Linked DNA regions of Rattus norvegicus. The protein of the gene in region 1 purifies or fractionates together with the protein of each later gene. This does not show direct contact. Links are inferred from orthologs where the notes say so. Each region holds a gene or a part of one and is shown on either strand. Other genes may lie near its edges.

Evidence for each region.
Region 2: the proteins of Sod1 (region 1) and Prdx2 fractionate together in Homo sapiens (co-fractionation; 3 studies listed by BioGRID, with this or other methods). This does not show direct contact. The link is inferred for Rattus norvegicus from reciprocal best matches to the Homo sapiens genes SOD1 and PRDX2.

Annotation. Positions count from the first base shown.
Region 1 is NC_086029.1:42,945,776-42,949,004, forward strand, and holds the end of Sod1 (superoxide dismutase [Cu-Zn]), read left to right. Parts: intron 1-600; coding exon 601-670; intron 671-1,358; coding exon 1,359-1,476; exon of another isoform or gene 1,477-1,478; intron 1,479-2,424; coding exon 2,425-2,532; 3' UTR 2,533-2,624; downstream 2,625-3,229. UniProt on the Homo sapiens protein: Destroys radicals which are normally produced within the cells and which are toxic to biological systems.
Region 2 is NC_086037.1:40,088,128-40,091,868, reverse strand, and holds the start of Prdx2 (peroxiredoxin-2), read left to right. Parts: upstream 1-886; 5' UTR 887-932; intron 933-1,319; exon of another isoform or gene 1,320-1,414; 5' UTR 1,415-1,416; coding exon 1,417-1,519; intron 1,520-1,610; coding exon 1,611-1,764; intron 1,765-2,621; coding exon 2,622-2,744; intron 2,745-2,888; coding exon 2,889-3,019; intron 3,020-3,741.

The sequences.
Region 1 (3,229 bases):
TGTCCCTTGTGAATGATGTCCCTTAGCCCACATGTACACCTCTAATGCTGTTTACACCTGGAGTTGAGAAGCACAGCAGCCTTGACACGTGGGGATAATCTAAAAATCTGTCTGCCCCAAGTAAAAGCCAGATGGCTGAGCTGTTTGGTGGTGTAAGGTCTTGAAAGATAAGTGTTTTTATCATGATCTTAAAAGCAAAGATCTTTAAATGTGGGACTTTAACTTTAGAAGTGCCACTAAAGGTCGCTTCTGTTCCAGTAGAGGAAGGAACCAGAGCTAGACATGCTGTGACACTACCATGCTCCTGGCACTTGGAAGGCTAAGGTAGGAGGGTCATTAACTGCAGATATCATGGGCTGTGGTAGTGAGACCCTGTCTCAAATCTCAAAACAAACAAACATGACAGTCTAGTGAAAAAGCGGGTAGCTTGAAAATGCAAGGCCATATAGTCCAGCTATTTGTACCAGGGTGCTGCTTCCTGTTTGTATCACTCCAGCACATACCAGCTCCATGTTTGCTGTGTTGGAAGTTGTAAGAATTCCGATGTCATTGCATACAGAGGTTTACTTCATAATCTGACTGCTGGTTTCTGGTAAATAGGCTGTACCACTGCAGGACCTCATTTTAATCCTCACTCTAAGAAACATGGCGGTCCAGCGGATGAAGAGAGGTGAGCAGCATTCTCTCTATGCATGGTGGTGGAGAGGGGTCTGTGGAAAACACCTGAAGACAGAACTGAGTGGTCTCACTGCCTTTTCTTTTGTATGTTTCCATTCACCCAACTCCCACATCCCCAAGTACTGGAATAGTTTATATTGGGTGAAGGAGCTGACAAATGTGGACTCTTAAGTGATTTAGTTTTGTAGCATTTATTGAAGATGAACTAATACAAGTGCCAAAAGGAACCAATACAGAAAATATCATGGATAACAGTACTATCAGTCACTAGCAAAGTAAATCATTGTATAATATACTAATGCAGATAATAAAAACTAGTTGAGATTCCGTTTGTATGTGAAACCTTAGGAAAGTCCTACATTTAAAGAGGGGCTAGCTTGCTTTTGGAATGGAGGCCTGGGAGCAAACCTTTGCTAATCAGGAGCTGACATCCTTTTCGAAAGTCCTAGACTGTGGCTCTCTCCTTTAAACTGGAAGAGCTATGTGTCAAGGTATCCTGGCTACCTGTTTTGAAATTTGTGTTTCCAGACCTTTGTCTGGAAAAGCCATCATATTTGATAGTGTATGTGCACTCTTTAATCCACTCATAGCATTTGACTTCGATGTGAATTTAGCTATTGAACTCTATTGATGTGAAATAGATATCATTGCTTATCCACCTGGTGCTGTTTTAATGTTAGGCATGTTGGAGACCTGGGCAATGTGGCTGCTGGAAAGGACGGTGTGGCCAATGTGTCCATTGAAGATCGTGTGATCTCACTCTCAGGAGAGCATTCCATCATTGGCCGTACTATGGTGGTAAGTTTCCATATAGTAGTAGATGTAGGATTTCTTCTAACATAGTTATGTACCTTTCCATGACTTCGTGGTGGTGGTTAAACTAGTTCCTAAAAGATCACATAAATTGGTAAGAGTTCAGAATAGGAAAAAATATTATTTTATTGGATGTAATAGTAAAGAATTAATTTGCCTAGGTCAGTTAAGAACGCTGTTCTGCTGAAGTGCGGTAGAAAGCTGGTTACATTTGATCAGACTGGATCTGAGTTGAGGATACAATAGTCTTTAGTTTAAAACAGCTGGATTTTCTTGCCATGATTGCCCCCTTACAGTTAATCATTTCGTTGAGCTTAAAATCTGCGATGGATGTCAGTATTCAAGTCTGCAGGTTATCGCTTGGTTACCATATGGGAGCCGTCTTCCCAAGTTACCCTCGGGAGATGAATCTGGTTCATGCAGAACACCAAGTAGTAAAAGCTCTTGCCCACTTCGGGCAGCTAACTTTTCAGTAGGCACTTCCTTTCAGTTGACCCTTTATCCTTAGAATTTTCTTCAGCCCTATTGGTGAAGCAGAACAATCATTCATAAATGTTCTAAAAATAAAATTTAAAATCTTGTTGCTAAGTAAAGATATTTAGAATTGCCTCTTATGTGTAGGCCTATAGTTCACTCACCAAGAGATTTTGATAGAGAAATTTGTAAGAATGACTACTGTACAGTGGGGTGAGGGTGAGGGCTAAGATCAGCATGTGCCTGGTAGTTATTTGGGTCCTTAGTATTCATCTAGAAATAGCCACGAGCAAGGAAACACTTAGTAGTCTGCTTTTAGCTGATAGCATAAAAATTAGCTTATTGATTTACTAATAGATTTGAACATTTTCTAATATACATGGTCCTTTGAAGTATTGCTGGGAAGAAGTGCTAATTACTTGATCACCGAAACCTAAATGTTCTTAATTCTTTTCAAAGGTCCACGAGAAACAAGATGACTTGGGCAAAGGTGGAAATGAAGAAAGTACAAAGACTGGAAATGCTGGAAGCCGCTTGGCTTGTGGTGTGATTGGGATTGCCCAATAAACATTCCCTATGTGGTCTGAGTCTCAGACTCATCTGCTGTCCTGCTAAACTGTAGAAAAAAACCAAACCATTAAACTGTAATCTTAACAGTTGTTAACTGTGTGACTCCTTTGACTTGCTCTAAGGACTTGCAGTGAGAGGTGACTGACGATGTTTGGAGGATGTGTAGAACTTCCTGAATGTGTACAACTCATTGAACTAAAATCTGTTGTTTCTGTGCCAGACCTCACTGGTGTTAAGCTGAAATTCTCATTCAAGCCTCTCTCTCTCTCTGTGTGTGTCTGTGTGTGTGTGTGTGTGTGTGTGTGTGTGTGTGTGTGTGTGTGTGTGTGTGTGTGTGTGTGAGAGAGACTGAGACTTATTTAGAGCCTCGAGAGATAGAGACTTATTTCAAGCCTATTAATGTATACCAAAAAGACCTAAGCTCTATACACTGAGCATCAACAACAGACTCAATGAGGCTCTCATAGTATTTAATTTTGAAAGTGTTTCATGTGATACCATCAAAATGACGTGTGGTAGCCCAAACCGGATTTGATCTTAGAAAATTTTCTGCCCTTTGTTATCATCAGAAATTACTGAAAGCTCTCTTTAAGATTCAGAGTACCTAACCTTATTTTAAAATCGTATTAGAGTTAGAAGCCATGATTTAAGATAAAGCCCTTTAGTAAACTTGTATAAAACTCATAAAAGGCAA
Region 2 (3,741 bases), on another chromosome or scaffold:
TTTCCTGGGACACTGTCTCCCAATCCTTGCGATTTTAACTCTGCTCGAATTTCCGGCTATATTGGTTACTACCATCTCCACCGCACCTTCCCAAGTTGACTGGCAGGTTTCTGTCTCCGTCTCCACCCTTCTAGCACTCTGTTTATAAGGCAGGCTATCAGATGACCAAGGAAGCCCGCAGGGCAAGACGTTGAGAACAAAAGGTAGTGCGGTTGGAGCACGGCAGTAAATTTTCAGTAAAATGAAACGGAACGGAATAAAAAAAAAAAACAACTCACAGATGAGAAACCAACGCGCTCAGAGAAAAGTGCCCGGTCCTCTGGGACACAGCCTGTGCTGAGCTGAGCAGAGATTTGAAGTCAGCCACAGAGGGTCTGTTTGTAGGGCCCAGGCCAAGTGAGGCCTGGGGGGGGGGGTGTCGGGGGACACCTTCCCATATCGTCAATCCCGCCCACCTGCTAGTTTACCCTTTTGTCGCTGCAGCCTCAGTAGCTCCCAGGTGTCACCTTCACCCTGCTGCCCAAAGTACTGGTAGTCTGGGTTGATCTGAGTAGGGGACACCAGACCTAGAAACATTAGAGGGGTCAGCAATGGAGCCAGGTGGCTCCGGGCCATGCCCGGACTCCAACCGACTCCAGCGCGCCCCCGTGGCCAAGGCCCGCGCGGAACCCACAGCACAGACAATCCCGGCGTCCCTAAGGACACACCCCATCCAACCCTTGGGCAAGCTTGTGGACCGGGCCGCGTCTCCCCCTCTGCAGCCGCAATGGATGCGACCGCGGTACTGTCCCGCCCACCTCCCCGCGCCCTGCCTGCTGTGGTTTGGGCCACGCATAAAAGGCTCCCGGGCCTAGGGCTCTCTCGGTTCTGAGATCTCTTTCCTGTCTCTGCTCGTGTCTGGTCGTCCGCGTGTCCGGCTCTTGCCCACGCAGGTATGGAAACCTAGAGTGCACATGAATGGGAGGAGCCCCATTGGTGTGATGCTGGCCTCATCACCACCTCCATGATGGAGGTCTTTGTTTTCTATGCTGAATGGTGGCCGCTTTTGTCCTTGCGGGGGGGAAACCAAGGCCGGAGCCCTGGCTTGCAGGCTGGGTCATCGAGCTCACAGCCCTTCGCTCTTGGCTTAGCTATCCCATTCTGGAACTAAGGGCTCAGGTCCCCCTTTCCCCGCACTCGGTCTGACTCCATAATTCGGGTAGCAACCGTGACCCCATCACTCTTGCCCTGTTTAGGGGGGCGGGTATCCAGAGGCCTTGCTGTCCTTGTACTGGGAGGGTGAATATGAGTGCTGCTTCTCCCACCTCTCTTGGATTTAGTGTCTAGGCTTAGCACCAAAAGTGACCTTGGGAAGGCAAGACAAAGGGTCTTCTGAAGCACTAAAGACCAAGCTTGCATGGGTCTCTGATTTCAGTCATGGCCTCCGGCAACGCGCACATCGGAAAGCCTGCCCCTGACTTCACGGCCACCGCCGTGGTGGATGGTGCCTTTAAGGAAATCAAGCTTTCAGACTACAGAGGTGAAGCTGCTCGGAGGGGGAACGGGAGGGGACAGGGTCTACATTTGAAAGAAGCTAGCACTAACTTCTCTTCCGCTCTCCTCTTCCCTAGGGAAGTACGTGGTCCTCTTTTTCTATCCACTGGACTTCACTTTTGTTTGCCCCACGGAGATCATCGCTTTTAGCGACCACGCTGAGGACTTCCGAAAGCTAGGCTGCGAGGTGCTGGGAGTGTCTGTGGACTCTCAGTTCACCCACCTGGCCTGGTACGGGGCTCCGGGAGGAGGGCTGCAGGGGCCGCGAAGTAGGTGATGGGGTGGGAGGTGTGGAGAGGATGAAGGAAGGCCCAAACTCTAGGGACAGACTGTGTCTTCCCGTTCTTCATCTTATAAAGAATGGAAACAATGACACCCAAGCCCATACGATGATGACAGTAATTAGCATTTGGCACCTTATTGGAAGGTACCTGCAGACGCAGTCTCGGTTCTCTGGAGACAGGCTGCCTTGCTGTATTTCGCTATTCTCCATAGTGATCCGCTGTGCTCCATACCAGAGCGAGATGATGGTGGGAACAGTCTATGCGCATGCACGCGCGCGCCCCCCCAAACACACACACACACACACACACACACACACACACACTTTTTTTTTTTTTTTTTTTTTTTGGTTCTTTTTTTCGGAGCTGGGGACCGAACCCAGGGCCTTGCGCTTCCTAGGCAAGCGCTCTACCACTGAGCTAAATCCCACACACACACTTTTTAAAAGAACTAGGAATCAATTCCAGGGCTCACTCCTGCAAGGCAAGTGCCCTGTGCCCTGCCATTGAACTGACTAATAACTTTAATAACTTTAATATGGGTTCTCTACTGCAAGTTACTCAGGCCCACAGGCACAAGTGAAGCCATTTGAAGATGATGCTTTATCTGGGGCCATTCTCCCCCCAGCTACGCTGCCATCTCACAGGGTGGGGTGGGTGGAACAGCCCAGCCTTGCTTTAAGTCCTTTATCTCTTGTCTCCAGTCCTCCTACTCCAGCCCTTATCATTCTGGAGGCCATGAGAGAGAATTCTACAACTACTATACTCGGCATCCTAAGGTCCTAACTCTGTTTCTCTCACCCTCAGGATCAATACCCCACGGAAGGAGGGAGGCTTGGGCCCACTGAATATCCCTCTGCTTGCTGATGTGACTAAAAGCTTGTCCCAGAATTACGGCGTGTTGAAAAATGATGAGGGCATCGCTTACAGGTACAGCAGGGACACCCTGGCTCCAGGTGCCCGCAGCTCAAGGCTAAAGGAACCACTGTGTCTGGTGGGGTGTGGATGTTCCCTTCCCTGGCCCTGGCAGTAGGCCGTCTCCCAGCTCCTCACTGTGGACCCTCTTGTCTTTAGGGGCCTCTTTATCATCGATGCCAAGGGTGTCCTTCGCCAGATCACAGTCAACGACCTACCTGTGGGACGCTCTGTAGATGAGGCTCTCCGCCTCGTCCAGGCCTTTCAGTATACAGATGAGCATGGGGAAGGTGAGTGAACGTTCACAAATAGACAGAGACCGCCACTGCTCTCTGCCCGGCATCTTTGTGGGAGAGAGATTAAAGCCCCATCCCAGCGAGAGCTGAAGAGATAACCAGCAGGTAAAATCACTGGCTGCTCTTTCAGAGGACCAGGCTTGGGTTCTTAGCATCTCTGTGATGGCTCATAACATCCATAATTCTAGTCTTGGGGGGGGGGATCGGATGCTCCCCTCTGACCTCCTTCTGCACCAGGCATGCACATGGTACACAGGTAAACACGTAAACGGGATGGATGGGCTGGAGAGTTGAGTTGGCTCAGTGGTTAAGGGTACTTGCAGAAAAGCAGGTTCCAGTACCCACAGTGATGCTCACCAGCTCCTTGGGTACACAGACACATAAAATAAAAAAATAATAATAAAAGACAGGTTCTTAGGTCCTGATTGTAGAGGTGGTAGAATGGATAGGATATGGCATGGTGGCACACACCTTCAAAAACAAAACAAAACATACATACATACATACATAGAATGAATATATATATGCAAAACATATAACATTTAAAAATAACATGCCATATTCAAATTCAGTTCTTTGCCTGTAGGGAGTGTCTAGGATGGGGCAAGGATGCTAAGAGGGAAGATTTGGGAGCCTGGTAGATGACTGTAGAAGGTATTTGAACTAGGAATGCTAGGTTTGCCTGCCATCCCAACACTTGGAAGACCGAGGCAGGA